2 linked regions of the Oryctolagus cuniculus genome follow. The protein of the gene in region 2 purifies or fractionates together with the protein of the main gene of each other region. This does not show direct contact. Links are inferred from orthologs where the notes say so. Each region holds a gene or a part of one and is shown on either strand. Other genes may lie near its edges.

Region 1 (11,953 bases), on a different chromosome or scaffold from region 2:
GTTTACATTTAGGTCATGACACCCCTCACCTAAAACTTTCCTGAACAACCCCATTAATAATCGCTCAACTCTCATGGTAAGTTATGCTTTCTACAGTTAATTACTCCTTAAGTCAGACTTGGCAGACAGGAGAGCAAGCTTCGCCAGCCCGACATGTGTTTCTTTCCCCCCATTTATGGAGCACACTTCCCTCCCCTGAAGTCTTCCCACTGACCGGCGGGACTGGGAATTCACTGCCCAGTATGCTAGACTCTCACTGACATCTTTCAGGGCCTACACACTCAGAATCAAGCTTAAGCACTGGTCATCAAAACAACACAACACATACAGAAGACACAAGTTCCACCATTCTGGTGTTCGACTGCCTTGAGTATCTTTGGCTTCAATTTCCTTATCTACAAAATGGGGTTAGGTTATGTGAGCCACCTATCTCACAAACCCTTTTGGGTCAAGTTGAGTCTGGTTATCCTCCCCAGATGAATTACATACAAAAAACAAAGATTTATGAATTTGTTAATGGTTCTTTGCGGTGGGTGTGCTAACAGCGCTCCAACATCTACGACTACTTTTTTTATCCCAGATTTCTTTCCCCCATCCCACTGTACAAATGGCTGAGCAAAATTTCCAGTAGTCTGGTACATGTAATAAGGAAATAAATGTGTTGACTCAGGGAACACAGACATATTCAACATAAAATGAGTAAAAAGAGAAAACTGACTGGACCATGCAAGTCATAACACACTTGGGATCTTCAAAAGTTCATGGAAAGTCTGTATTATGAAGAAATTATGAATAGATTTCAATTTTTCCACATCAAAATAATCTTTTAATTCCATTTTTCCATGTACTTTTTAAAATACCCTCATACAAATAAAAAATTAAGATGATTCACTTTTTTTTTTTTAAGATTTATTTATTTGAAAGGCAGAGTTACAGAGAAAGACAAAGAGGGAGAGAGATCTTTCATTCGCTCATTCACTCCCCAAATGGCTGCAACAGCCTGAGCTGGGCTGATCCAAAGCCAGGAGCCAGGAACTTCTTGCAGGTCTCCCACATGGGTTACAGGGTCCCAAGCACTTGGGCCATCTTCTGCTGCTTTCCCAGGCTCATCAGCAGGGAGCTGGATCAGAAGTGGAGCAGCTGGGACTCAAACTGGTGCCCATATGGGATGCCAGCACTGTAGGCGGAGGCTATGCCACAGCGCTATGCCACAGCGCTAGCCCCAATTTACTACTTTGATTTATTCAAACCAATGCTTTACAACACAGCCAAAAATCTACAACCCAGGGTTGGAGGTTTGGTGCAGGGGTTAAGACAAAGCCACTTGGGACACTTGTTTCCAATATGAGAGTGTCTGACTCCTCCATTACCATCCAGCTTCCTGCAAATGCACACCGTGGGAGGCAGCATGACTCAGGCACTTGGGTCTCTGCCACCTCTGTGGGAGACTTGGATTGAGTTCTGTGCTCCAGGCTACAGCCTGGCCCTGCCTTGACTGTTGTGAGCCTGTGGGGAGTGAACCAGCAGTTGGAAGATCTCTCTCTCCGTCTCTCCCTCTGCGTTTCAAATAAAATGAAATTTTAAGACGTTTTTAAAGTTTACAACCCATAACAGAATAAAGAAATTTAAATGCACACACAATAACAACCAACAGGTATACACAATCTACATTTTTAATAAGAAAAAAACGACCAACCACTGTGTCAACAAACACCTCACTTGATATAACACAGTGATGTGTACCAAACAGAAAAAACAACTAGGGACACTTGAATTGGGCCAACTTAAGTGCAACCACACCCCCAAACCCAGGTAAAGTCCACATACAGGGCTGTGCCAAGGCCAGCCTCTTTGTTTCCCTCTCTTCTGCATTTACCCAAGATCTTGGCTCTGAGACAGAAAACTCCCACTCTGGATTGGTTCATTCTGTCCTATGCAATTAAGCAACACCACAATCCAGTAAATGCAATGGCTCAATTATTTATCTTCGAGCTGAGTTTACCAGGTGTTTCTAAGAGAACAATGTCAAGAAGGAATGAGCTGGCCCTGATGGGGTTTTTGTTTTGCCTTTTTTTTTTTTTTCTTTTTCCAGGGGAGGTGGGCAGCGATAAGCGCCTAACCTAGAAAAAGATGGGAAGGAATTAAGGAAGAATACAGTCTGTCCATTTCCCTACAGGAAACTTGAGTCTTATGCAATAACCCTACCCGCAACCAGCCAGCACGCGAGGCTGTGGGGGGAAGACACCTATTCCGACCTCCAGGGGGGCACAGCCAGCCCACGAAGGAGGCGAACCGGGCCCGGCGGAGGAAGTGGCTCAGCCCGGAGCCGGCGGGGCGGGGAGAGGCTCCTTCCACCCCCGCCGGACGGCAGCTCCGGGGCCGCAGTGTCCCGAGCCCGGGGCTCAGGAAGTCGGGGGCCTCCCTCACCTTGGCCATCCCCAGCCTCGCACGCCCTCGCGCCGCGGGCCGCCCCCTTGAGCTCATTCTCCCTCTCCTCCGCGTCGCCCCTTACTGCGAAGAACGAAACTTACTTCCAACGCCCGTCCCCCCCCTCCCCCGTCCCCGCCGAGGCCCGCTCCTGTCATCCCAGGGAGCCGTCCCCTGAGGGTGACCCTCCGCGTCTCCTCCGGCCCCCAGCCCCCTGAGCGCCCACCCCCGGCTCCCCCTAACACCCCAGGCGCTCCCGGCCCCGCGGCGCCCTCCGAGGTGCCCAGCTCAGGGGCCGTCGGGGGAGGCGGCCCCACCCTTCACCCCCTTCACCTGTTTCTCGGGCTCAGGCCCGACAGGCCGGGGCTGCGCTAGCGCCGGGTGCGGGCGGCCGGGCTCCCTCAGGCCGCCGGGCCTCTGCTAGCCGATGCGGAGAGACAACGCCGAGTGGGGGTGCTCTTCAAAGATCCGGTTGGGGCTCCTTCCCTCTGCTGCGACGTCGGAACCCCAGACTCCCCCTCCCGTCTACACCGCCGCAGCTCCGGAAACCGCTGAATTACAGCCCCTTCAACCAATCCCCGCCCAGCCCCAGTCTCGCCAAGGCACGCCTTTATACATAATTCATGAGACAGCCAGCTTGCTAGACCACCCAGAGGCCGCAGTGCGAGGGCTGTACCGTCGAAGCCCCACCCATTGACCAATGAGGTAAGTCTCCAGGAGAAAGGGCGGAGTCAAGGGGAGGCTGGGGACGCCCCTGTGCTGGCTGTTCCGAGCTTTAGTGCTCCTCCCTCCGCGGCACCAACGGAAGAGACGCGGCCTTGGGCACAGAAGTCCGGAGGGAGGGGGGAAAATGAACGGAATGTCCTGCTGAAAACTCAGCTGAGTTCCTGGCAGTGCGTGACGTCAAGACACTTTAAATGCCCCTGATACGGCTCCCTCCTGCCCGCTCTCCCTTTTCCCGGCCCTTGGCACCACGTGGGGGCGAGACTGAGAGGTTCTTACCACGTGGGAATCAGCCAGTTAGACGGTCCCCGGGTATCGCCAGATCTGCCAGGCGCCCTCCTCTTGGACTGGGTTTCTGGGGCCGACAAGACGAACATGGGCGACCCTTGCCTGCTTTGAACCCCAGCTTCTGCGTGAGTTGGGACACACACACCCGGAAACATGACGTGGAAATAGAGTAATTACTAGATTGCGTGGGAGACGGCGGTGGATTTAACCCCGTCTTGGGTTCTGTGCCTTCAGCCGCTAGTGCGCGGGCCGGTACACACACGTGCGGACTGTAGGTGAAGATGACCCCTTGCTGACATTTCTGTGCCGAAATGCTCCCCGTTGTCTGCCCTATTTTTTTTCCACCTTGTCTATGCAGGTATTACTGAACTGAAGCCGGTCGTTCATAGGAAATGTACACACTTTGCCTTTCGTAATAGGGTGAATTTTGCATAATAGAGTGTTGTGTGTGTGCTCCATTCTATCCGGGTTCTTTTTTTTTTTTTTTTTTTTTTAGCAAAAACAAAAATCGTTTAACACAACGAGATAAGATAAAATATAAAAAGGGCCCATTATCTCAACCACCCACGTAACTTCTAATAACACTTTTCTCAGTGAAACTAATCCATGTTCATGGTTTAAAAATTCAAACAATTCAGAAAAATTTTAAGAGACTTATTTGAAAGTTACAGAGAGAGAGCAGAGCAAGATCTTCCATCCCCTGGTTCACTCCCCAAATGGCCACAACCACTGGAGCTGGATGGATCTGAAATCAGGAACCATGAGCTTCTTCCAAGTCTCTCACTTGAATACAAGGACCCAAGCCCTGGGGCCAGCTTCCACTGCTTTCCCAGGAGCATTAGCAAGGAGCTGGATCAGAAGTGGAGAAGCTGAGACTCAAACCAGTTCCCATTCGGGATGCCGGCACTGAAGGCAGCAGGTTTACCGGCAATGCCTCAGGACTGGCCCCTCAAAATATTTATTTTAAAACAAGATTTATTGAAGTCAGAAACCTCCGGATGCAGCAGCCAAGAGGGGGGCTCCAAGAGAGGCAGACCCCCCTCCCAGAAATTTTTAAATGAAAAATCTCCCCCTCCTGCCTCATTCAGTCTTCCCCAAGGATAGCTGTTCTTAATTTTTGGTGAGAAAAAAAATCAGTGTCTCTTAACCTTTGAAGGGGAGTGGATCTCAGAGTTTGGTGGAGAATACGGATTCCAGCCCCAGAAATACTCAGCAATTCACATGGTTCCCCCAAGACTCCAGGTTCAGACTTCTGGTGCGCCCTTAAATCCAAGTGAGAGGTGAGGGAACCCATAAGGCAACCGTCAGTGTCGGGGTGCTGGGACAGCTGTCTCGGGGTGTCCTGTAGATCCCGGAAGTGTGGGATTGCCTGTTTGTAAACAGAGTGCATGTACGGGTCATGGATCACTCTTTATCTTCACCATGGCCACCTCCCCTAAAGTCCATCCCAGCTGTGTGGCCCCTTGCAGTTCACGGCCTCCCTGGTGGCAGAGGGTCTGATATTTGCTCAGTGATTTACTGCTTGGAAGGTGCTCACACACTCTCCTCTCCTTTCTCACAACAGGTCACCTTCATCGCTGACAACGAGGGCCCAATCCCAGCGATACCCGGAGGTGCACCAGGTGGGTCAGAGCCACAGCTTTGTTCCATCCTGGTAAGCTGTGACCCCTGACCCCTCAGGAGCGTTCACTCCCCTCACTGCCCTCGCCACCGTTCTCCCCTGAAATCTACCTCTGAGCCTGCCTGATAAAGGGACAAAAACCCTCTGCAGCCTCCGACTGACCCCAATCCCCACCGGCTGAACGCTGCAGCTTCTCCCTCTTGAGCCGAAGCCTGGCCGCTTCCCTACTGTCTCCTTACTCCATCCCGATCTCCCCTTGGCTACCAGGAGCATCATCCTAAAAGTTATATGAATAAATACTCAGCCCTGTCGCCATCTGCCTCAAAATCTCTTCTGTTCTCCGTGATCCATAGGGTAAAAATCCAAGTTCCTTCAAAAAAAAGCACCAACCTCCTAACTCAGTGCCAGGCATGCGGCAGGAGCTGGGCTGATGCCCCTTGTCCTCTCGATTCGACTCCTAAATCCTGTATTCTCACCTGAAGCCCTTTGTCCAGGCTCATCCCACACCACCTGAACTCCCGCCCTGCCCTGATCACCTTCCCCAGGGCGTGCCAGCACCACCCGCCACTTCAGCCCCTGTGGGTTTTCTTCCCTCCCACCATGTCTCTTCCATTTCCTCGCTCCCTCGCTGAAAACTCTCTCATTCTTGAAGGCGCGGTTCCAGCATCGCCGCCTCTGGGCTTTCCCGGTGCTCCCAGGCAGTCTGCCTCTCGGCTGCCGTCAGCAGGTGTTTCCCCACCTTGAACTGCAATGTATCCATTTACTAGCCCACTTCCTTATAAATGAAATAATTAACCTTTATTAATCACTATGTTCTAGGAACTGTACTGAGCATTTTACGCAGAGATTGTCATTTGATCAAGGACATAGGCGTTCTAATTCTCATTTTATGACTGTGGAAACTAAGGCTTAGAAAGAAAAGGCCTGGGGCTGGCCTTTGGCCGCACAGTGAACACATGTGCCTCCCATATCAGAATGCCCGCCTTCCACGCTCAGCTGCACTCCTGATTCTAATAACCTGCGAATGCAGGCCCTGGGAGGCAGCAGGTGATGGCTCAAACAGCTGGATCCCTGCCAGCCTTTGGGAGACCTGGGTTGAATAACTTGGCTCCCAGCTTCAGCTGGCCCTGTCCTGGCTATTTCAGGCATTTGGGGGGTAACCAGCAGATGGAAGGTCTCTGTTCCTACCCCATCACTCTGCCTTTCTTTCCTTTTTTTTTTTTTTTTTTTTTTTTTTAAACACTGCAGGGCCAGTGCTGTGGCATAGAAGGTTAAGCCTCCACCTGCAGTGCCGGCATCCACAGGTTTGAGTCCCAGCTGCTCCACTTCTGATCCCGCTCCCTGCTAATGTGCCTGGGAAAGCAGCAGAGGATGGCCCAAGTGCTTGGGCCCCTGCACTCATGTGAGAGACCAGGATGAAGCTCCTGGCTCTCAGTTTCAGCCTGGCCCAGACCTGACTGTTGTAGACACTTGGGGAATGAACTGGTGATGGAAGATCTCTCTCTCTCTCTCTCTCTCCCCCTCCTTCTCTGTATTTCTGCCTTCCAAATAAACAAATTAAAAATTAAAAAAAAGGCGCGGTTGGGGTGGGCTTTAGGGCACTGAAGGTTAAGCTGTGGCTTGCGACACCCACATCCCGTATTGTAGCATCTGGGATCAAGTCCTGCCTCTGCTTCCCATGGAAGCTTCCATGGCTTCTGTGCACCTGAGGAGGCAGCAGGTGGTCACTCAAGCACTTGGGTCTCTGCCACCCACATGAGAGACCCAGATGGAGTTCCAGGTTCCTGACCTTGGCCTGACCCAGCCTCGACTATTGCTGGCATCTGGGGAGTGAACCAGCAGACGGAAGATCGCTCTATGTGTGTGTGTCTTTGTGTTGCTCTGCCTTTCAAATAAACAAAACACAAAAACGTGGCATGGCAGAGAAGGCCTCTGGGCTGATAGGTGGGTGGTGAGGCATGGTGGTGACCAAAGGTGACAACATACAGGCAAGGGGTCCTTCACGGGGCTCAGCAACAGGGCTGCCTGGCTCCTCTCACTGACAGCACCGGGAAGAGCAGGGACTTGCTCCGCAGGCATCCTCTTGCAAGCCTCTCTCTTTCTCCCCAGCTGATCAACAGCCCTCCCTCTTCACTGTTGGCAAGGCTGTGTCATTCCCTACTGCCTAAGCAGCATTCACACCATGCCATTCTGTTCCTCCGGGGCTTCCCAGGGAGCTTAGGGGAAGGGGTTTTCCTTTATCTCATCCCTGCAAGGCCCTCCCTGCTGCCTACTGAATTCCAGCCAGGCCACGTCCCAGCCCTTGGTCTTGGCATGTGCCAGCTCCCTCTCTCCACCTGGCTTTGGCACAGCTACTTCCGCCTCACCACTCCCATCTTACTCAGTCTTCCTCTAACCACTCCTGCCTAGAGTTGGTCCCAACTTGTTCATCACTATCTCTCTGTCCAGTTTCCTGGACTCTTATCACAACTCTCATTTTATTTATCTGTTTACAGAGTTTGTTATCTCCCTCCTTACACTGTTAGTTGCACTGGATCTTGGCTCTTTGGTGATCTCTTGTGCGGAGCACATAATAGCTGCTCAGTAAGTAGTGAATAAGTGGAAGTGTTCTGTGTCCCACTTCTGCCTCTGAGCTTTATCAATTCTCTCCTCCCTCCGTCTCTGAAGACACTTCCTCTTTTCTGTCTTGACCCTAGTATTTCCTCAGTTACCCCTCCACTTCTCATCACTGCCCCCACATCTCTACTTGCTCGCCCTAGGTGGCTTCTGCCAGCCCCTGACCAGAGGACAGTGGTCGTGAAGGCCACCAGGGGCCTCCTCCTGACCAGAGTGGACATGCTCTCGTTTCCCGTAGCTTTGCTGTAGAAGCTGATACTGGGCAGCGTCCTAGCCACTCTCTCCCCTTGGCCATCACCGCAGGCAACAGACGCAGTCACATTCACGTGAAAGCTCCCGGGAACTGAAGTGAGACACCCCAAGTTTGAATCCAGGTTCTGGTCCAGGATCAGCTGTGCAGCCTTGGGAGAGTTCCCTAACCTCTCTGAGCCTTGGCATCCTGATCTAACTAGAGAGCATAATTCCGACTTGGTAATTTTGTATTCAAATGTTCTTGCTTGGAAGATACCCTCAAGGTGACTGCGCAGCCTGGTGGATGAGAGCCAGGTCCTGACTCAGTCTACTTCCCAGCCGCTCTGCCCACTGGGCGGTGTGACCCTAGGCTACTTCCTGAACCTCTCTGGATCTGTTTCCTCATCTATGACATAGGAAGAGGAAAGTACCTACACCATAGGTTGTCATTACCTTTTTTTTTTTTTTTAAGGATTTTTATTTATTTGTTTATGTAAAAGGCAGAGTTACAGAGACAGAGGGGGAGAAACAGAGGATTGAGGGAAGAGAGATTGATCGTCCATCTGCTGGTTCACTCCCCAAATGCCTGCAACAGCTAGAGCTGGGCCAGGAGCCAGGAACTTCCAGGTCTCCCACATGGGTGGTAGGGGCCCAACCACTTGGGCCATCCTCTGCTGCTTTCACAGGCACATTAGCAGGGAGCTGAGTGAGAAATGGAGCAGCTGGGACTGGAACCTTCACTCCTATATGGGAGACCAGCATGGCAGGCAGCAGCTTAACCTGCTGCACCAAAATGCCAGCCCTTGGACAATCATCCTTGATAGAGCAGCCATGCACAGGGCAGGGGTATTGGTCACCCAGCGGAGACAAAGCCTGGAGGGAGGGGGCAGGGACTTTTCTGGGCAGGGGACATCCAATATGTGTCAGGAATTCTCCTAGGTAATGCTGATGAGAGTGCCCTGTGCCCAGCAGGACGCCTGTCTCCTGTGTGACCCCTCCCTCCACAGTCTAGTTTGCTGGTCTCAAACTTCACTCAAAGGGTGCCTTTAATTCCTTTTTTTTTTTTTTTTTAAGATTTATTTATTTGAAAGGCAGAGTTAGGGGGCAGGGACCCGGGGTCAGGGAGAAAGAGAGAGATCTTCCATTTGCTGTTTTGTTCTCCAGATGGCCTCAACAGCTGGAGCTGGGCCAGGCCGAAGTCAGGAGTCAGGAGCTTCTTCTGGGTCTCCCACACGGGTGCATTGGTCCAAATGCTTGGGTCAGCTTCTGCTGCTTTGCCAAGCCTTTAGCAGGGAGCTAGATGGAAGCAGAGCACCCGGGTCTTGAACCGGCGCCTATATGGGATGCTGGCATCGTGGGCCCTAGGATGCCTTAATCCTAGATTCTACCTTCTTCTCTCTCAACTCCCTCCCTTGGCAAACTCATTATTCCTAGCACTTCAACAACACCTTTCTTGTTTTCTTTAAAAAAAAAAAATGTTTTAGAGGTGGAGATAGAGCTCCCTTCTGCTGGTTCACTCCCCAAAGCCCACAGTGGCCAGGACTGGACCAGGGCCAGGCCAGGGCCAAAGTCAGAGGTGGGAACCCAGTGCAGGTCTGCCATGTGGGTAGCAGGGATCCAACGACTTAAGCCATCACTGCTGCCTCCCAGGGTCTGCATTAGCGGGAAGCTGGAATCAGAAGCTGGATCCAAGGACTAAGCCCAGGCACTCCAGTGGGGGATGCAGGCCTCATGTCTCTTAATTACTAGGCCACACGCTGGCCTCCATGACTATCTTCTGATAATTCTTTTATGCTAAGCCTCAGCAGACAGAGGTAAGTTACTTTCTCTGTAGTGTGACACCTTCTGCTTCTTCATCTGGAATCGAGGCCCCTTTAACTCTCCTCTGTGAGCTGCTCCTTAATCAGACTTGCAGCCCCATGCCCCATCTGTCCTGCATCCTGCCTGCTAGCTCACAAGCCCTCCCTTCCCAACAATGCCCTGGTTCCCTTCAGCCACATCTGTAACTGAAGAACCTCTCCTCCTTGCCTTGGATCCACGGTGAACACTGGTGTTAACTGGCTCCAGCAGGTTCTGTGTGCCAGGAATTTGGAATTTGAAATTGACAGGCACAGAGGCCAGCACTCTGGTGAAGCAGCTTAAGCAGCTACCTGCAGTGCCAACCTCCCATATAGGCACTTTTTTTAAAAAATATTTATTTTATTTCTTGGAAAGGCTGAGTTACAGAGAGACAGAGCAAGAAAGATCTTCCATCTGCTCCTTCACTCCCCAGATGGCTGCAACAGGTGGGGCTGGGCCAGGCCCAAGCCAGGAGCATTCTCTGGGTTTCCTACATGGTTGGCAGGGGCCCAAGCACTTGGGCCATCTGCTGCTTTCCCAGGTGTATTAGCAGGGTGCTGGATTGGAAGTGGAGCAGCTGGGACTTGAACTGGCACCCATATGGGATGCCAGCATTACAGGTGGCAGCTTTACCCACTATGCCATAGCACCGGCCCCCTGGGCACTGGTTTGAGTCTTGGCTACTGCACTTCCAGTCCAGCTCCCTGTTAATGTGCCTGGGAAAGCAGTGGAGGATGGCCTGTGCTTGCACCCCTGCATGCAGGTGTGAGACCCAGACCAAGCTCCTGGCTCCTGGCTTCGGCCTGGCCCAGCCCCAGCCATTGTGGCCATCTGGGAAGTGAACCAGTAGATGGAAGATCTCTCTTCTCTTTGTCTCTCCTTTTCTCTGTCACTCTGCCTTTCAAATAAATCTAGAAAGAAATGATGGATGGATGGATGGATGGATGGATGGAAGGAAGGAAGGAAGGAAGGAAGGAAGGAAGGAAGGAAGGAAGGAAGGAAACTGAGAGGCGCAGAGCCTGGAAGCTGTCAGAGCTGAGTTCCATTAAGCTCAGCACTTTAGATCCATCAATCTGCCCGCAGCAGTCCCTGGAGACGCCCCCACCCCGATTCCTGCTCTTTCAGCCTGTGCTTGCTGATTCCTTGGAGTCCGTGGGATATCTTGGCAGCCTTCCAACATAATTTCCTTTTTCCCTCTAAGTTAGCCAGTGTCCTCAACCCCGGGCTGCATATTGGACAGCAGTCTCATGAGACGCTACAACCGGGGAATTGTAGCCGCCTTAGTCCGTGAAAGTGCACTCTGATGTTTGCACGATGAAATCACCTAATGACTCACCAGCACCCATTGCGTATGGCTGTCTTTGAAGGGTGCCTGGCTGTGTTTTCAGCCTTAACCAATGCTACGGTGTTTAAGACGTTTGGAGGCCCTGGTAACACAAACACCTAGTGAACAGCGGCCTCTGCCCTCCAGCAGCATCTGTTGAAATCCCTCCCACGTTTGCGAGGGCCCCGTGAGCACCCCTTCCTCCTGCAAGCGTTCCTGTCTCCCCAGGGTGGGCTGCGGCGGCCCTGCGTTTCACCTCTCATCCCCTCCGTGAGCGATGCTGAGCATCCGCCTCTCCCACTAACTGCAACCCTTGAAAATCGGGGACTAGATCTTTCCATTTTTGTTTTGTTTTGTTTTTTGAGATCTTGTCTTTTCAGTCTCTGGCTCCTAGCACGGAGTCACAAACAAGTCATTTGGAAAGAACCTCTGCTGTTTCTGTCTGCTCCGGTTCCCCTCCCCTTTCCATTGATATCGGCAACTCCACTTTCACTTTTAATTCCACGTTTAAAGTTTGCTCTAGAAATGACCACATGACCTATATTTGGCCAAAAGCACAGTGATTTGGATATGTGACCTATCAGCGCCAAAGAAGTAGCCTCTGAGATTCCGGCTGGAAGGATCTGGAAAGAAATTCCCTCCACTAGGGTTGCTCAGCTTTAGGCTGTAGGAGGCAGCTGTCAATGGTTACTTTTGCCACCATGTGGAAGAATCTGACCTTTATTTATTTATTTATTTATTTCAAAGGCAGAGTTAGAGAGAGGCAGACAGAAAGAGAGAGGTCTTCCATCTGCTGGTTCATACCCCAAATGGCCTCAACAGCTGGAGCTGGGCTGATCCGAAACCAGGAACCAGGAGCTTCTTCTAGGTCTCTCATGTGGGTG
Region 2 (11,228 bases):
GTTTGTGGGCAGGGTGTGTGTGTCTATGGAGTGTTTATGGACAGGCTGTGTGTATCTACGGGGTGTTTGTGGGCAGGCTGTATCTATGGGTGTTTGTGGACAGGCTGTGTGTATCTATGGGTGTTTGTGGACAGGCTGTGTGTATATATGGGTGTTTGTGGACAAGCTATGTGTGTCTATGGGGTGTTTGTGGGCAGGGTGTGTGTGTCTATGGAGTGTTTGTGGACAGGCTGTGTGTGTCTATGGGGTGTTTGTGGAAAGGCTGTGTGTGTCTATGGGGTGTTTGTGGACAGGCTGTGTGTGTGGGATGTGGGCACAGGGCAGCAAAAGCTTTGTCACCACTGAGGCCCTGGGAGGAACCGGCCAGAGCCCTCCCCACAGTCGCACAGAGAACAGCAGCTCCAGTGGACCCCAGGGTCCCGTGCATTCTGTGCACCTGCTGTGAGCCACAGCTGTGGGTAGAGTTTAGCAGACACAGGACAATGGGGAGCGAGCTGTGCTCATCAAGGGGTCATCTCCCTTGGGACGGGTGGGGGCCTTGGAAGGCTCAGTGGGCTGGGGGGGCCAAGGAGCACATGGCAGGAGGCCAGGCAGTAAGGTGCGACGGTGCCCCTCATCCAGCACCCCCAACACATGAAGCCCAAGTACAGGTGACTATTTGGAAATGGTCCCAGGACTCAGGGCAGGAATGGAGGGTGGGAGGCAGGAACACAAGGTAGCTAATGGGATGTCTCACTGAGCCTGCATAAGCACCCTTGCACAGGGTGCCCAGCAGAACACCTGTCTCAGAACCCCCTAGACTTTGAGTTTGGGGCTGCCGTGGTACAGAGCTTCTGGGGGCAGGACAACAGTCCACAGGCACCACAGCAGGAGCCAGGGGCTCAACGAAGGCCTCAGAGCCATGGGGTCATGAGCCCGGCCGGTGAGCATGGGAGGCATGCGGAGGCCCTGCCAGGGTCTGCTGGGGGCTGTTCAGGAAGAGATCAGGCTGCAAAAACCTCCCCAAGATGGCCAAAGGCAAGGCCGGGGCGCAGGGAGACTTGGGTGGTCGTGGGGGGGGGCCCGGCTGCAGAGAGGCATGCCAGCAGGCATGGGAGGGGTGCTGCCCCACCAGCCCCACTTACTGTAGTCATGCACCGTCGCTCGCACGAAGGTGTCGTTGGCCAGAGCCAAGGTCTCGTTGGGGGCGTGCTCCACGCGGAAGGTCTGCTGGGCCCAGGGGTCCCCGGGGAGCAGGGTGCTCGTGTACCGCCTCACCAGCTCTCCCGACGCTGGCACCACGTCCGCATCAAAGACACGCAGCGTGGCCACCACGGTGCCCTGGGTGATGCACATGGCCACAGTCAAGACTGCTGAGTGGGACCTTCCAGTGCCCCAAAGACAGTGCCCGTGGGAGGGGGCCCAGCCCCCAGACAGCCACACCAGAGCGCTCGGTCAGAGCTGGCTCTGGACACAGACTGACCTGGGCTCTGGTCCCCATGGGGCCACTTGTCAGCGCGGTCCAGTTCCTCACCTGTGCAACAGGTGTGACACGCACCTACAGACTTCCCCGCCAGGAGCAATCAGAGCAGACAGGGTTCATCCAGGTCCCCACAGTGGAGACGGGCACCTCCACTCTCCCCAAGGGAGTTGGGCCTCACAGGGTGAAGGGCAGTTCAAGGTCACAAGCAATGGCAGAGCCAGGTCCAAGCCCAGGTGTGGAGCAGAGCGCTCCCCTCCAAGTGTCATTGGCAGAGCAGGCTGGTGGGGGAGCTGTCTCCATTCACCATGTCCTCTGCTGTCCCCCCACCCCCCATGGGCTCCCACGGCCTTTTTTGCTGCAGGATGGCCGGAGAGCCAGCAGGTGGCGGTAGCGCTCCACCTGCGCGGCCCAGAGACCGGAGGGGCTGGATGATTGGAGCAGAGCAGCAGGCCCTGTGAGATGCCCCTTCCTTCCGCTCTGCCGTCCCAGGGTTCAGTGCTTCCCCCCACCCCCCACCCCGCTACGGCACTGGCTGGTGGTGGAACAGAATGAGCGTCCCACACGGTGTGCTGCAGATGCTTGCCCTTGAGCCCCGTGTGTCTGCTTAGACTCAGGCTAGGCACCCAGGGCTCCTGGCCTCTCCAACTAGAGCTAGCAGAACTCCTCCTGGAGTGCCCGGGCAGACAGACAGAGGGGTGAACGAACGGGACGAACAGACCAAGGAATCAGCCACAGACTGAGGCAAACAGACAGCGGGAAGCAGTTTCCCACACTGGGGACAATCACCTCCTTGCGCTTGAACTCCACCACGGCGTCGGCGGTGTCCACGCCCCCCGGGAAGGTGGGCGGCGAGTCGTCCTCATCGTAGACGGTCACGGGGAAGGGCACCATCACGGCCTCCTCGCGCGCGCCCACGCGCACCGTGCACTTGGCCACCAGCTCGTACTTCTCCCGTTGCTCGCGGTCCAGGGCCCAGAGCGTGCTCACCTCTAGGCTGTCCGGGGCACAGCGGAAGGGCCCGTCCTTACCTGTACAGTAAGCAGACAGGGGCTGGGGGACGAGGGAGGCGGGAAGGGGGCGCAGGCGCGTGCTGGCCTCCTCCCCTAGAGAAGCCCGGGGCTCCCAGGGTTTTCGGTTTTGTGTGGGCGGGGACCAAGAGGCCAGTGGAGGGGGTCCTCCGTCTGGAGTGGGCATGTGTGGGGTCAGGTGGCTTTGCTTCAGCTACAGCCCCCGCCCCCGGGGGGGGGACTAGCTCTGCACACTGGCAAGGTTTTAAAAATGAGGAACTTAAAAAAAAAATCTAGAGGTAACGTGCTCATTTTAGGGAAGGCAAGAAACAAACCCACAACACAGGGGAACACGTGGGACTGTGGGGGCAGCTTCTGTGTCCTCCCCAGCTGACCTGCAGAGCTCCTGGCTCAGCTGCCCACTCTGCAGCCACTCACAGACCCCAGCCAGCAGAGGGAGACCCCTGTGAACCACAATGCACCCTCCAGCAATGACCCAGGAAGACAGGAGGCTGGCTGGGTGAGGATGATGCCCCAGACACCCCCCAGCTGGCTGGCCGCAGGGGAATGAGGAAGGCCACATATCCAGGCACCAGCCGGGAGATGCTCCCCCTGCCATCTCTCCCTCTACCCCCTTCAATGGCCAAAACCTCGCTAAACAAAACCTGCATACCATTTGGCACACACACACACACACACACACAAACAAAACAAAAAACAAAACAAAAACAAAAACAAAGCACCTGTTTTGCCAAGCACTGGGGTCAAGGACACACACCCCAGGGAAAATAAAAGCAGGCTGAGGAGTGGGAGGGGTGGGTAATCCACCCAGAGTTCAGACTGGGACATTAAAACAGCCCAGTGCGTGCTTCAGACCTGCTGGGCTGCCCTAAACCTCCCCACCCCAAACCACACCGAAGCCAGTGGTCTGATGATCCTTTCAAAGGTAAGTCAGGCTCAGTGGGTTAAGCTGCTCCTGCATCCCATATCACAGCGCCAGGCCAAGTCCCGGCTGCTCCGCTTCTGATCCAGCTCCCTGCCAATGCACCTGGGGATGCAGCGCAAGATGAGTCAGTGCTTGGACTGCTGCCACCCATGCGGAGACCTGGATGGCGTTCCAGGCTCCTGGCTTCAGCCTGGCCCAACCGCAGCCGCTGCGGTCATTTGAGGAGTGAACCAGCCGATAGATTTCTTTGTCTCTCTCCTTCTCTCTGTCATTCTGCCTTTCAAATAAATAAATCTTGAACAGATGCTAAAAAATCAGGACCTGAAACAGCCTCCCCCTACAGCCTTCCATGGCTCCCCATGTCCCGAAGGGCTCTTCTCCCATCACCCTCTGCTCTCTCCAGTAGCTCACTGTCCTCCAGCCATAGGGGGCCACGTTGGCAACCTTCAGGGGCCACAGCTGCACATCTGGTGCCCATTCACCTTTGCTCTGTACCTCTGCTCTTACCACCCAACTCAAGACACACTCTCCACCACGGCGTGGCCTCCCGAAGCCACTGTGTCTCCATGGCCCCAGTATGGGCTCCATCCCCGGGGGGATTGAGAGCCCCAGGCAGGCAGGACGCTGCCCTCCTGGCTTCTAGAGCAGCACCTGGCTCAGATCCTCCTGCACGGCAGCACTCACCTTCCAGGAGCCCGTAGGTCACGCTGACGTTGGGGCACAGGAACTGCACGGGCAGCAGCCGGAACTGGTGGAAGGTGCCGGGCGGCTTGTTCTCCCGGATGCGGAAGGAGAGGTCGGTCTCCGGGAAGCAGAGCTCGCGGGGCGAGAGCGAGCTGCAGGCGGGGAAGGAGGAGTTGATGCAGGAGAAGTAGACGCGTGCACAGCCGGGCCACTGGCACTCGGCCTCGCGCAGGGACACGGGGGACAGGAAGACCTGGAGGAAGATGGTGAGCAGGGGGAAGCCGCCATCTGCAGGAGAGAGGAGGAGTCAGTTGCCGGGGAGGCGCATGGAGGGGGTGGAGAGGGGCAGGAGCTGCAGGGTTCACGGTGGGGTGGGTCCCAGGGCTCTGTGGGCTCTCTGGCCCTGGCGGCCACCTCCCTTCCATGCCTCAGGGCCCCACATGCCCGCCTCCCCTGGCACTCAGGTCTTAGCTCAGATGCTCCCTCAAGGAAGTGCCCTGGGCACTGGGTCCAGCGTGCCTCACCTGCTGCAGGTGGCCGACTGCCCAGTAGGTGGCAATCAGTAGCAGCCCCCACCCCTGCCACAGCCTCCCTGAGGGAGTCTTGGCATGGCCACACCTGGCACCTTGGGGGTGTGTGTCGTGTGTGAAGGTGTGTGTGGTGTGCATATGTGTGTGCATATGGTGCTGGGGGTGTGTGTCGTATGTGCATCTGTGTTTGTGTGGTGTGGGAATGTGTGTGAGTGTGTATGTGTGGTGCTGGGTAGGTGTATGTGTGCATGTGTGTGGTACATGGTGTGTGTTGTATGTATGTGTGTGCATGTGTCTGGTACGTGGTATGTGTGCATGTGTGCGGTGCATGGTGTGATTGTGTGTGTATGTATGTGATTTATGTGTCTGGTGCATGGTATGTGGTATGTATGTGTGTGGTGTGTGTATGTGTGTGGTACATGGTGCATGGTGCGTGGTGTGTGTGTGTGTGTGTGAGAGTCTCTGTGTGCTGCTGCCTTACTGCGAAGGCTGAGCTTCTCCCAGGTGTGTGTGGTGCGTGGTGTGTGATGTGTGTGTGTGTGTGGTGTGTGTATGAATGTGTGTGTGTATTTGTGTGTGTGTGTGAGTCTCTGTGTGCTGCTCCTTACTGCGCAGGCTGAGCTTCTCCCAGGTGTGTGTGTGGTGTGTGGTGTGTGTGTGTAGTGTGTGGTGTATGTATGAATGTGTGTGTGTGTGTGAGTTTCTGTGTGCTGCTCCTTACTGCGCAGGCTGAGCTTCTCCCAGGTGTGTGTGTGGTGTGTGATGTGTGTGTGTGCGTGTGTGTGGTGTGTGGTGTATGTATGAATGTGTGTGTGTGTGTGTGAGTCTCTGTGTGCTGCTCCTTACTGCGAAGGCTGAGCTTCTCCCAGGTGTGTGTGTGGTGTGTGATGTGTGTGCGCGTGTGTGTGGTGTGGTGTATGTATGAATGTGTGTGTGCGTGTGTGTGAGTCTCTGTGTGCTGCTCCTTACTGCGCAGGCTGAGCTTCTCCCAGGTGCTCTGGTCCAGGCTGCGGTTGAGGTACAGAAGGCCGGTGTCCTCGTGAATGCGGATCCACTCGTTTTCGTGCAGCCGGGTGCGGTAGGCTCCGTAGAGGTGCTGGCCCAGGCGGAAGCTGGCCACCTCCCCTGGGGCGTCCCGCAGCGCGTGCACGTACAGCAGGGGCGTGCCGGCCGGCTGGTCCACGTACAGCTTCTCCCAGTAGGCATCCCGTGAGAAGTAGAGGCCCAGGGGGGCTGCAGAAACAGGGATCGATGCTGAGGCAGCGCGGGGATGGCGGCTGCTTCCCAGGCAAACAGGCAACACCATCAGTGGACGCTTCTGCCCTCAGGAGGACTCCCACCTCCAGCCCTGAGAACGCAGCTGACCACTGGCTGCCCACGCACCTGCTCCAAGGCAGAAAAAGAACAAGAGAAGGGAGAGGCGGCACGGACAGTTTCCTGACGAGGATCGCCAGACAAGGGCACGTGACCTTGCCAGACAAGCCACCATCACCGACAGCCGAGAAGCCACGTTCCGAGAACGCCAGCGTCTGTCTGTGTGTGAGCACGCCCCATACAACCCGGCAACCCCACTCTGCCCACCCCAGCCGGCTGAAACCGCACGGCCACTGGGTGAGCTTCTAAATAAGAGTGCAGGGTGAGAGCTGGAAGACCCTCAATGCCCTTCATGGCAGGACGGATGGACACACTTGGTGGAGGGGCATCTGTCCTTGGGACCCTACACAGCCATCAACAGGGAGAGGCTGTGGACATCCCCCGCCTACAGGGGCCTCGGAGACACACGCCAAGGGCGGGAAAACGCACAGGCCCCACATCCTGATGGATCAGACAGGGTTGGCGCATTCAGGGGAGAAGGAGCGGCTCCCGGGACACATCTGCTTGTCAGCAGGGGCCCGCTGAGATGCCCGCATTGTAACCCTGGCAAGCTTGATCCAGGGTAATGAAACACTGTTCCCCAAGATGGCTATGGGCAGAGGCGTAGCTAAGTACGGTGAAGAAGGCAGGATGCCAGCCTCCGCTATGGCTGGATCTGGCAGACCCATGTATGTCCCACACTGTTTTTATAATAAAAAATGTTTTCAATAGCTGGAATTGTTTTGGTGCCTATGTGCTCTGTGGATGGGAGTGTAGAATGGCACAGCTGGGGTGGAAGACAGTACTGTGTTTCCTCAAAAGTTAAAAAACAAAATTACCCTGTGAGCCCATAATCCTAGGGCTGGTCTACACCGGCAAGAGAGACCTATGTATGCCTGTGTTCACAGAGGAGCTGTTATACACACAACAGCCACTAGGGGGCAGCGACGAGCAAAAGGTGGTTACACATACAATATAATAGCAAACCAAGGAATTGTTGACAGGCTACAACCCATGGACCTTGAGAAGGTTATGCTTGGGAGAGTGAGATCAGACACACACGGAGCCACTGCATTGACGGGAGCGTCCCAGAGACAGGAGGACACTGGCCGCCAGGGGCAGACTGACGGAGTGCATGGTTTCATTTTGGGGATGGTGGTGATGGCAGTACAGGGCTGCGGGTGAATTTAAAGCCCCTGAACCATACGCCTAAGCAGTTAAGGTGATCAATTTTATACCAAGTGACTTTTCCTTTATGAAAGATAGCTACGAATTTTAAGAGAGATGGATAAACAGGTTAAGAGTGCTTAACACCTAGTAAAACCTGCAACTAAATCCTAGCACGCACACAAACAGCACACGTGAGAAACGCGGACACAGCAGGCAGCAGCTCTCACCCTCTGGGGGGGGGGGACACACCATAGCCCTGGGCTTCCCAATAAGCAGCAGCTGTCCCGGGGGTGGGGCTGGGGGGGCCTTGTGCAAAGGCTTTTGGGGAAGCTGGGGGTTTGCAGGAGAGAGGTTGTGTGCAGGCTCGGGGAGGCGCCGTGCGCAGCCCAGCCACACCTTGCAGCCGCCTCCTCTGGGGGCAGCCCAAGCTGCGCTCCCCCCTCCCCTCCTGAAAGACCACATGTGCCGCAGAGAACGGCTCTGTCCATGCTCTCCTCGAAGAGCTGGGTCCTGGAGGACCGTGTGGGGCCCCTCACTGCTGCCAAAAGGGATCTGTGTGTCGGGTGATGATCAGGAACAGGAACAGATGTAAATGCACTCAAAATGCCTCCTAGGTGGTCCCTCTGGCCACAGGCACTTCCCAATGGCAGAACACACGGTTCGAGGGGGCACCCAGGAGGCGGGTGCAGGGCCAGCCCCGGGGGAGCACACAGAGGGATCTCCTGCGTTTCACTTCTGTCACCACCGTCCTCTTGAGGCACACCTAATTCCAGACCAAGGAACGGCAGAGGCGGAGAAAAGCCGACAGGGAGGCGGGCTCTGCAGAGACCTCGCCCTCTCTGTGTCTGTTTCCGCCACCATGAGCCACAGGAGGACCTGCCGAGGTGAGGAGGAACCACCAGGGCAGGTGTGGACAAGCCGACGCCTCTCTACAGGTGTGTGTTGTTACAAATTTCACTATGGGCTCACGCCTCTGGCCACAGGTCCCTTCATGGGCCCATTTCACAGACAAGAACACTAAGGCCAGGAGTTGGAAGACTGATCCAAGCCAGACAGCTGGGCATATCCTGGGATGGCAGCAAAGTGACGGTGGGGGTGAGGCACAGGGCGGGCGCTGAGCCCATGGGGGTGACTGCCCCTCGCAGAGCCTACCTGAGGGCAGAGATCTGTCTCTGGCCAGCGGCAGAAACCTCAATCGCCTCCCAAATGCCACATGACGACAACACCACACCGTCCTCCACAGGTCCCGTCAGGGCTGAGCCCGCCCTGCAGCACCCCGTGGCCAGGCTGGCCCACTCTGCTCACAGCACACCTGTGGGAGACCCCCGCTGCCACCGCTCATTTTGGGAGGGACTGTGTATGTCACGCATGCGTGCCTGTGTGTTCATGAGCAAGTACACATGTGTGCATGCAGGGGACAGACACGGAGCTGCCTGCCTGTTCCCACCTACCCGACCTGACTCCACCTGTTCCCACACGACCAGACCCCGGCCACGCAGACTTAGCCCTGGCTCCTTCTTGGGGTAGGGCTTCCTCTGTAACCCCACCACGGCCCTGGCCACTCAGAATTCAGGGTCTCATCTGGTGCACGGGGCTGGGGGTTTACTTCTAACTTCTGTGTTTTCAGCCAGGAAACACCTTTTGCAATTTGGCCGGGACGTGGCATGTGTAGGATCCTATTTGGCTGCAGACGGGAAGCAGCCATGAGCCCTCCTCCCACACGCAGACATGCCTCGTCACGCACACTGTCCACATGTGCACATTCCCAAGGCTGTTGCTGGGCTCCGGGTGGGTGCCGCTGTGTGCAAGCAGCATGATGCTGAGCTCCGTGGGTGTAGGACGCTGGCGGGGGGGGGGAGGGGAGGGGAGGTGAGACTGGACACGGGCTTGCTTGTGCTTCCGGGGCAGCCTGCGGGCCCAGGGCATGGGGAGCTGCAGCAAACTCTGCCCCTGGTGTGTGCCCAAAGCACACAGTTTTTTGGCCCCTGCACGGCCCATATCCAAGTTCAGAGATGCATTCCTGCAGCCCACAGGAGCCACGCGCAAGCACGCACACATCTGCTCTCACACAGTGCAGTCCCAGTCTTGCTCCAGCAAGCACGTTCAAGTACAGGCAGCCCCCGATGCCCCAGGTTCCACAGCCTTGGATTCAACCAGCCACGGATAGAAAAGACTCAGGGGAAGCAATGCAGATGTTCTGAAGGCATGCCGACTTTGACCTTGTCGGCATCCACTCAATGATACCGTCTACCCGGGAGTTACACGGCGTCCACACTGTTATTAGGGATTGTAAGTACTCCAGACCTGATTTAAGGTGTGAAGGAGGGGCGGGCATTTGGCCCAGGGGCTGAGACGCTAGGATGTGGAGCTGTTCCATGCCGGGCCCGCTCCTGACTCCCGTTTCCTGCTAATGCTGACCCTGCGAGGTAGTGGTGATGGTTCAAGTAGCTGGGTCCTTGCCTCCCCACCCTTCTCTCTCTCCCTCTTTCAAGATCTATAAATTTATTTGAGAAGCAGAGTTACAGAAAGACAGAGAGCAAGAGACAGAGAGAAAGGTCTTCCATCCACTGGTTCACTCCCCAGACGGCCACAACAGCTGGAAATGAGCTGATCCAAGGCCAGGAGCCAGGAGCTTCTTCTGGGTCTCCCATGTGGGAGCAGGGGCCCAAGGACCTGGGCCATCTTCTACTGCTTTCCCAGGCCACAGCAGAGAGCTGGATTGGAAGTGAGGCAGCCGGGTCTCGAATCAGTGCCTTTTTGGGATGCCGACACCGCAAGCGGAGGCTTAACCACAGCGCCTGCCCTGGGTTCTTGCCTCTTAAGCTGGAGGCCTGGGTTGGGGTCTTGGCTCCCACCTTTGGCTCTGTCCTGGGGCTGTCAGGGAAAGTGAACCAGTGTTTCAGGTTCTGAATCTTAAAGAAAACTTTAAAAAACAAAGCAAGGCCGGCGCCGTGGCTCACTAGCCTAATCCTCTGCCTGCGACGCCAGCACCCCAGGTTCTAGTCCTGGTCGGGGCACCGGATTCTGTCCCAGTTGCCTCTCTTCCAGGCCAGCTCTCTGCTGTGGCCCGGGAGTGCAGTGGAGGATGGCCCAGGTCCTTGGGCCCTGCACCCGCCATGGGAGACCAGGAGGAAGCACCTGGCTCCTGGCTTTGGATTGGCACAGTGCGCCGGCCGTAGCAGCCATTTGGGGGGTGAACCAACAAAGGAAGACCTTTCTCTCTCTCTCTCTCACTGTCCACTCTGTCAAAAAAAAAAAAAAAAAAAAGAAAGAAAGAAAGAAACAATCATTTAACACACACACACACACACACACAGTCCAGGGGAGAATGTGTGTAGGTTCCACGCAATGACTATGCCATTTATCTCCGGTCTCCATGGACTAGGCTATGTGCAGGGGTCTTAGAACCAATCTCCCATGGATACCAAGGAATTGGCTGTGTTCTTTCACACTGTTGCAAACTTACACTCACTCTCATTGTTGCACACCTGCCTGTGATTACACAAGTCTGACACACTCAGTGCAGATGAACCGAGGCTGCCACCCCCAGCCTCCATCTGTGGCCCCCGGAGCCTGCTGGATCCCAAGGCAAGGGGCTCCCACGCCCAGCCCTCCCCAGGGTCCTGGCCTCTGGTCAGGAGCCCCACGCAGCCCACCTGAGGCCCCCTGCACCTTGTCACCAGTCCTGTGGGGGGGGTGCCACTCCCAACCCCTCCGGTGTAGGCTCTTGGTCCCTCACAGCCCCTCTGCTGCTAGCTGGCCCCTGGGACACGCTCACCACGGCTCCTGGTGACCCCACTACAGCAACACACACAGACCTGATAGCTGAAACTCTCCCCAGGGTAGAGGCAGGAAAGGGGGAACCCGGGGCGTTCAAGAAAAGGAGGAAAATGGCAAGAACGGAATGGTCCAGTCCGCACGCCGGGGACTGCGCAGGGTGCCCCCCCCCCCGGCCGCGTCACTCTGAACACCGGCCCCGCCCTTGATGAGCAACAGAACAGGCAGATGACAGTTTTATTACGAGCCAGCAGGATCTCCTTAACAGACGATTTCCTAACGCAATCATCTTTCCTGGG

The links.
Region 1: the proteins of RET (region 2) and STAT3 purify together in Homo sapiens (affinity purification with western blotting; 3 studies listed by BioGRID and IntAct, with this or other methods). This does not show direct contact. The link is inferred for Oryctolagus cuniculus from reciprocal best matches to the Homo sapiens genes RET and STAT3.

Annotation. Positions count from the first base shown.
Region 1 is NC_091448.1:20,433,919-20,445,871, reverse strand, and holds the start of STAT3 (signal transducer and activator of transcription 3), read right to left. Parts: upstream 7,109-11,953; 5' UTR 7,064-7,108; intron 6,443-7,063; exon of another isoform or gene 6,308-6,442; intron 5,381-6,307; exon of another isoform or gene 5,210-5,380; intron 5,061-5,209; exon of another isoform or gene 5,003-5,060; intron 4,712-5,002; exon of another isoform or gene 4,595-4,711; intron 3,576-4,594; exon of another isoform or gene 3,369-3,575; intron 3,028-3,368; exon of another isoform or gene 2,979-3,027; 5' UTR 2,761-2,978; intron 1-2,760. UniProt on the Homo sapiens protein: Signal transducer and transcription activator that mediates cellular responses to interleukins, KITLG/SCF, LEP and other growth factors. Once activated, recruits coactivators, such as NCOA1 or MED1, to the promoter region of the target gene.
Region 2 is NC_091446.1:85,341,852-85,353,079, forward strand, and holds part of RET (proto-oncogene tyrosine-protein kinase receptor Ret), read right to left. Parts: intron 5,863-11,228; coding exon 5,599-5,862; intron 5,258-5,598; exon of another isoform or gene 5,238-5,257; intron 4,388-5,237; coding exon 4,100-4,387; intron 2,491-4,099; coding exon 2,249-2,490; intron 1,321-2,248; coding exon 1,125-1,320; intron 1-1,124. UniProt on the Homo sapiens protein: Receptor tyrosine-protein kinase involved in numerous cellular mechanisms including cell proliferation, neuronal navigation, cell migration, and cell differentiation in response to glia cell line-derived growth family factors (GDNF, NRTN, ARTN, PSPN and GDF15).